Drosophila melanogaster: one gene and its partner. Changing the gene in region 2 together with the main gene of any one other region gives a genetic interaction. Each region holds a gene or a part of one and is shown on either strand. Other genes may lie near its edges.

Region 1 (5,144 bases), on a different chromosome or scaffold from region 2:
GCGCTTACCAGAACCTTCCGAGAGTGAAATTAGTCCAATTAACACTGAGTCGCCCGGCAACACCGAAGAATTGCCCTGGTGCAATATTTGTAACGAAGACGCCGACTTCCGATGCCACGGATGTGGTGGGGAACTCTTTTGCACTCTATGCTATAAGGAGTGCCACGATGATGACGAGGAGTACCGTGCTCACGTTAAGGAAAAGTATTCGGCTCCGCCAAAGCTTAAAGAAAATCACTTCTAATTGTTAATTGTTTACTTGACTGTACGCAAATTTTTGTTTAATTATAGATTGTTTTCAGCAAATGCATTACTATTGTCTGTATTTATGTGGTGCTAGCTCGCTCATATTTGTGCAGTATAATTGTTGCTTCTCTTTCAGTTGTGAATTAAAACAGGTAGGCGATGTTGGTTCCGAAACATCTTGTGGTTTTTCCACCTTTCAGCGCTGCAAAAACTATACCAAAATATAAAGTAACTTAACGAAACTGCCAGTAGCTGGAAAATTTATAAACAGGTGATTTAATGTTCAACATTATAAACGTAACTCGGGTGCATTTAAGTCTAAGTATGTGAAATGGTGCTCTTCTTTTGTCCCTCATTGTTCCTCCTCCTCGATATTGTAAAAGTGGGGCCATGTCTGTATCTCCTCGTACAATCGCCGACCAGGACTCTCCGTCGAATTGCACTGGCAGTGACAAATTAATCTATAGTCGGTGGATATGTGACCATCCTCAACGCCGCGGGCCAACAGATTGCGGCACATATTCAAGGCGTCTGCCGTCGGGAGTTCTTTCATGAAGCATCCAATGAAACTGATCCCCAGCGAGATCCTGTTGTAACCCAGAGTGTGGGCGCCCACCGTTTTCCATCCGCGTCCCTCGTAGATGTTGCCATCGCAGCCGACCAGGAAGTTGTACGCAATGTCATTCCATCCCCGCGACTCAATGTGGAAGCACTGAAATATATATACATAATTATTATATAGTTCGGAGCATATATGATTTAATTTCGCTAACGAAATACTTACCTGCATGTCACGGATAAGTCTTACGTTGATCGCCCGCTTTTCTGAACTCTCTGTAGCTGTGTGTACTGCGTGGTAAAACAATATTTGTTAATCAAGGTTTTAAATATATTCGAAAAGAGTTATAATACGATATAATCTTAGGTTAGTGAGTGCTAAGCATGATGGTCAGATCAAATAGTATAAATTGTTTTAATTATTGCGTCATACTTTTACAGACAACTTGATTTATAATCAGTTGGCAAAAAAATGGTTAAAACGTGCAGCAAACTTGAATACTCACAGATAACCACATATTTAACAGGCAGTTGCAAGGGCAGTGGCTCGTCCATGGGCTTCTGTGCTAGCCACGAAGAGCGCGGAATGATGGCGGACAGCTCCTTGGGTATTTTGAATTCTGTAAGTGAAATCGGTATCCTATGGTTAACGTGTATGCATCCCCTGGTGAATGATAGCTTACTCTGGCGCCTGATGAACACATCCGAGCGCACCCTCTCCTCCGACTCGTCCTGATAGTCGTCTTCGAAATGTGTCGGAGTTTTGGGAGCGTTATCTCTCGGTGGTGAAACATGCCGCCGATCTCTTCGGTTTTGAGTAAGGCCATCGGCTATGATTTGTATATTTCCATTAATATTGGTAACATTGCCGATATGGACGTTCGTGGAGTTGCTTATATTAACGTTGCCCAAAGTCTGAATGCTGTTGATCGAGTTCATAAGGTCCCTTATGGTGTCGCTGATGATCGAATGCTTTTTGGTAGCTTTAAGGTGGGGATATATTGAAAGTGTTATAAATTGAATATAGAAACTTGATCTTGAGTACTACGCACCGATTTGAGTGCCTAGTGTCATAGTGCTGATTTCTTCACTGGTATTTTGGTCGGCATCCTCCTCTTCCTCGGTATAATCGTAGTCCAAGCTGTCCACAACCGAGGACTCTGCAATGGACTCCAGTTCCTCGTCCTCCTGACTAGCCAACCATTCGCGAGTCCGCTCCTGGCTCAACTTTTTGATTCCCGATTCGGACATGTCCGTAGTTTTGGCTTCTGTTTGCTGCCAATAAATGCGCGTGTATCTCTCGGCTGGCCCTTACTTTGTTTATCAATATTGTGAGTTAGAACTGCTCTATTCTCTGATTAGTGTTCGTGTCGTGTCCACCTTACACGATAAGATAAGGACGTTCCACAGGCTATCCACCATTATATGCGCAGGTGCCGTGGTGAAATGCTTTTTTGCATATCAGTCCACTTGGGGCTTTTTTTTTGCATATTTAGTCATGTGTATTAATTATTGTCATGGATATCGAGGATCAGTCTAGATATCGATAAGTATTATCGATGTTCGCATTTAGAACAATTCCACTGCCTTTGAAGGGAGCTTAGCGGTATCGTACATACAGTGGGCCGCATCCACTAGTTGAGTTTCAGATTTCGATAAGTATTTGATTAACCATATAAAGCTTACAAAAATTTAAATACGAACAAAAAAAAATAGTTTAAATTATCCCTCTTTAACCGTTTTGGACATATATTTCTGTATACATATATATATTGTTCTATGAAAATATATAAATATATATAAATAAATAAATAAGTAAATAAATATATATAAATAAATAAATATAATATATATAAATATATAAACATACAAATGCTTTGTCCAGATCCGAAAACCCCTTATCACTGGCTAAAATATAACCAGTTTGGTTCACCAATCAAATCGACTGGAGGTACAATGCACCCAGTGCTGGAAAAGATGAGCTTTCCAACACTCTTGCCTATATTGGGCTTTAATGCTAAGCAGTTAACTGCAACACTGCACCGTGTTTGATAATAAACCTGTAGAGGCAGGTGATTACACCCAAGTCAGCCCATCTTTAAGCATTAGTCATGGGGCTAGAGGTACTCAGATAAACCACCAAAACCTAATTCATGCGCTGTAAACATTCACTCGACCACTCTCGCGTATGCGCTGTTCTTCCCTCCAAGTCTCTCAATTACTTTCTTTATTTTTATATTTAGTTACTGCTGGCTATTCAAGCCAACCAAAGAGCTACCACAACACGGATTTAATAGTCACTTAGAGCCATTAAAAGAGAATAAACTAAAATGTAACCAACTTATAAACTAATTTTATACATTGCTTAAGCGATAGTTTGACGTATAAAACTGAGGAGCTTATATTTATTACTTTTGACTGCACAGTGGAATGCATTCAAAGGTCTGTTTATGTTTTTGTTCCGGTGTGACCGTATTCCGAACAGGAACACAGTCTAATTTAAAAGTTAAATTAAAAGCATATCAAAAAGTGAAATAAACTTTTTAAATATCTTCGCTAATTGGACAAACAGCTTAAATATATTGTAATCAACAGATAACCTAATCAAATATACCAAAATAGGCATTTTTTAGTGGAGTTCAAAAAAGGGCGGCAATCACCTTCAGCTGAATCAGCTGTCAAATAAAGTGAAGCTTTGGTATTAAAGCTTTTAACATAATTTAGGGGAAGAGAAAACATAAAAATGTATGAAAATGAAAGAGAAAAACGGATTCTCTTTATGTAAAATCTTAGAATTAACGCTCTCTTAGGTTCCACAATTGGTTCCGATTGGAACCGCGCACAAAGAGAGCGAGGAAGAGAGCGAGAGAGTTTCGAGTCGAATTGGAATGGCCAGAAAAATATATTTCTGCTTTCAGTTTCGAAAAATTTTTCGATGGAAGCAGCCGAGTGCGAATGCGAATGCTCAATGAGAAGAGCTTTTACTGTTTTACTTTTTGCCTGAAATACATTTTGAGATAATTTCTTATTGGTAGTTCTGTTTATGCCATCGCTTGCGTCTGTCTGTGTTATTTCGATTGCGAGAGCTAGTTAACATTAGTTAAAATTAAAACAAACGCCAGCCATAAGATATAATCGAATTGCGGTTTTTTCTTCTCGTACCGAATTTCCATCCACATCCGCATCCACCATCCGCCATCCGCCAAACCCATCCCGTTCCGTTTGTTCGTCGCTATCCGTCGGATATGTTGTTCTATCGGTGTACCGTACAAGTACAAGTTCGTACCCAGTCCAAAGCCAAACAGATTGCGCCGTGTGCCGGTAAAAATAAGCGCAAAGTTTGAGAAAAACCATCAACATCAGATGATGTGCCCTGGAGGAAAAAACGTCGCGGATTTAATGAAATCTTAAATAATGGGTTCGCTTTAGCACAATTCGACGTTGCATTCGGCCAGCGGTGTGTTGTGTAAACAAAGTTGTAGTTATAGTTTTAGTTTAATTAGCTTCGCATAAGCTGCAACCGGATCTGAAACAGACCGTGGAAACAAAAAAATAATAATAATAATAATAATAATAATAATTGCATTTCATGTATGCCAGTGTAAATTTGCGTTCGTGTGTGCTAAGTTTACATATAGAGAGCGTGGAGTGGATTGGGATTGGATAGTGTTGGATTGGATAGTATCCCTATCCGATTCGCGCCGTTATTGTTAATGCGCAGGTAATTCGGAGCGCTTTTCGGCCATTCTGCCCAATACCAATATTTTGTTCTACATCGTGTTTTTATTTTTATTTTTTTTCCAACATTTTTTTTGCTGTGCTGTGCAGTGCTGTATGCGTTTATTTGACAGCTTATGAATCACCCACAAAGATTTATTTGTGCTGATTGCAGCACAACTGTTGCACCCCATTCAAAAAAAAAACAAATAAATAAATTAATAATCACAAAAAACACCCGCACATCGTCTTCGGGAAAACTACTGAAGCGAGTTGGGCCAGCAAAAAAAAAAAAAATACGTATAAATACAAATAAACAAATAATACCCAAGCCATTGTTCCCCCTCCTTAACGATTATAATTACGTTGCTTTTTTTTTTGCAGTGCATTTATTAAGGAATCCGTCTGATATCAGAACAACCTTAACTAACGCCTTTAAATCAATGATATGGTGGCCAATTCCCATTCCGTCGAACAATCGAATCGAGCGACTAGATTCGGTAAACATCGACCAAGTGTAAACTCGACTCCCATTACCACTGTGTAAATACCAGAAAGTAAATCCAAAAAAAAGAACAATAATTCAACCTGCAGGGGAAACTAAAAACGCACGATACACTTAT
Region 2 (2,605 bases):
AACTCCTCTGGTGAAATGTTGTGCCAGGAACTTGGGGGTAATTTTCCATTAAGAAATCGATCGCAAGGCTGGTCGGGGGTGCATCAAAACAAAACCGCAAAAACCCTGTCTCAACCCCACATATCTGGAAATTAATCGAACTAGCTTTTTATTGACTTGGCAATTAGTGTGTTGTTCGAAAACAGGTTACATTATCCCAGTTTTGGCGATTCCTTTCAGTTGTGCAAGCATTTCGCAACAGTTATCATATCTAGCGATCAATGTTATAAACAAAAACCAACAAATTTATGGTCCAGATGTGCTATTTTTAATTAAATGGCTTAGAACTATCGGAATTTTAATCTTTGGAAGATTTTTCATTTGTGGAAAAAGTAGAATATCGATCGTGTTTGGATCGTATTCATTGATTAGCGTTTACGGACCGGTTCCATTTGATTACGTTGTATTTTTTGCGATTAAGTGCGTAAGCAAACCGACACGCCCTTTACACCGAAAGTCCCTCAATTGCCACCCAATGAAAAGTCCCATGTTTTTGTTTTCATTTTTTGACTTTTTTCTATTTTCGCCTCAATTACAGTGATTAACTATTTTTATTTACGTCCCCAACTGGAACTGGCTGAAGCTGACGCCGATGCTGATGCACTGCCGCCGCCAAATCCACCTCTGGGATATCCGCCAAAGCCGCCACCTGGATAGCCACCGCCACCGTAACCACCGCCACCGTAACCACCGCCACCGAAACCACCGCGCCGGAAGCCACCGCCTCCTCCACAGCAATATCCTCCGCGGCCAAAGCCGCCGCCAAAGTGACGAGCGGCCCTAACTCCAGTGCCATCATCGATTCCCGGCTGTGCTTCAGCATCTTCCAGCGTGATCTTTTGTTCCTCCAGAGGATGGCCGCTGATCATGGCCAGAATGGCCGCAAAGACGAGGGCAAGCACCAGGTACTGTTTCATATTGGACGATCAAACACTTTCTGCAATCGAAACACCCTGGGCTCCAACTTTTATATAAATAGGCAAATAACCCGGGGATGTCCCGTGTGAAGAGCAAGTGTTCTATAGCGCATTATATATGCTTTCCAAGTATCATTAGTTAAACCCGTAGGGCAATTATTATATGACGCCGATGATTTCACCAAAACTTGAGGTCAACGGAAATCCCAGACGTGTCGAAAACAAACCCCCCAATTCTTCCAGAAATTACAAAAAATTATAAAAATTAAAAACCGAGTAATAATAGTACATTTGTATTAAATTATATTTAGAGCTCAATCTTAATAAGGTAATAATATATTGATTTTTAAACTTAGTCGTCAGTTGGAAGTCTTCGAAAAAACAAAATTTTAAGTAATTATTTCACATTTTGGTAAAACTCAACATTCTTCATTAAAGAAGCTACTTCAAATTATTCATCGATATTCTTTTTCAATGACGTTGAATATTTGTAAGCAGCTAGAAATGTAAGATTTATTTTTCTCCGTGTATATCTTTACCATCACATTTTGAGACCAGCCCCCGGAATGGGGATTTACTTCTCCTACGGTTGAATGCAGACCAGTCAACACATTTTAAGTGATCAGTGACCCAAGATTGATTTTGCGCACTTTATTAACTGCATGTTACCAGAGGATTGGGTTTACTTTACTATCTAAATTTGTCGACCTGGGGAAGCACAGTAAATTCTCAGGCGTAAATATCTAAAGGTTCTGTGAGAATCTTAAACCCGTTTGGTGACCAGCATTCGAGTCAGTCCAAAAATAAGCGAACAACAATGATCTACAGATGAGCGGGAAAAACGAAATAAACGTAACAGTTTCTAACAAAACAAATCATATATCATCTTCATAGACTGGTTCGTGGCGTAAGAAACATACTTAAAAGGCACTCCTTCTTAAATTACAATATTTTATTACAGTCTAACTTGGCAATAAATATTGTAGTTAAAAGTTCCGGCTAGGCCGTGAAAAATTGACTTAGGGAGTGTGCTTTTCACCATTACTCTCAAGGTAATAATAAATTCCATAACTATTGCAGTACTTAAATTCATTCGTTGTAAGATGAATAGAGCCAGACTTGTATATGTTTAAAAACAAAAATAGGCGTTTACCCGGTAGCACTGAACCTTGGAAAACCAATATAGTTTAGTCTTAAATTATATTGTTTTAAACAATCGTCTTATGATTTGGACAATCATTTTCCTGCTTCAGACCATGAAAATTATATTACATGAATAAGTAAACACATAATATCAGCTCTACGATACCCATTGACTTGAATTCGTTAATATTTCATTATAAATCAAAGCTAAGTCATATATATACATGTATATATAAATATAATAGCACGCGTGGATTAAGTGCCTGATAAGATTGACTAACTGGCAGATGTCTAGCCACACTTAATTAAATTAAAAGGCAAAGATTTCCATGTCTGGCGAAACGCTGATCAATTAGTGCAAATATAATAATTCGAGACAATCCCAGAAGCACCTGGAAACAGAAAATGGGAAGACTCCGCTCTTATACACAGCGTATAAGATGATTCACCTGGCGAACGTCTATAGTGAAATGCATCTACTCAAGGGTGAATAGATTTCCAGCTCG

The links.
Region 1: of Listericin (region 2) and PGRP-LE, changing one suppresses a phenotype caused by changing the other (phenotypic suppression), as found in Drosophila melanogaster (one study listed by BioGRID).

The regions. Positions count from the first base shown.
Region 1 is NC_004354.4:15,800,653-15,805,796, forward strand, and holds PGRP-LE (peptidoglycan recognition protein LE), read right to left. Parts: upstream 3,229-5,144; 5' UTR 2,675-3,228; intron 2,439-2,674; 5' UTR 2,056-2,438; coding exon 1,857-2,055; intron 1,788-1,856; coding exon 1,488-1,787; intron 1,425-1,487; coding exon 1,311-1,424; intron 1,096-1,310; coding exon 1,031-1,095; intron 959-1,030; coding exon 599-958; 3' UTR 501-598; downstream 1-500. Other genes in the region: CG15602 (uncharacterized protein), read left to right, coding at 1-244. UniProt on the Drosophila melanogaster protein: Peptidoglycan-recognition protein that plays a key role in innate immunity by binding to murein peptidoglycans (PGN) of Gram-negative bacteria and activating the imd/Relish pathway. Has no activity against on Gram-positive bacteria.
Region 2 is NT_033778.4:11,241,211-11,243,815, forward strand, and holds Listericin (listericin), read right to left. Parts: upstream 985-2,605; 5' UTR 957-984; coding exon 591-956; 3' UTR 535-590; downstream 1-534.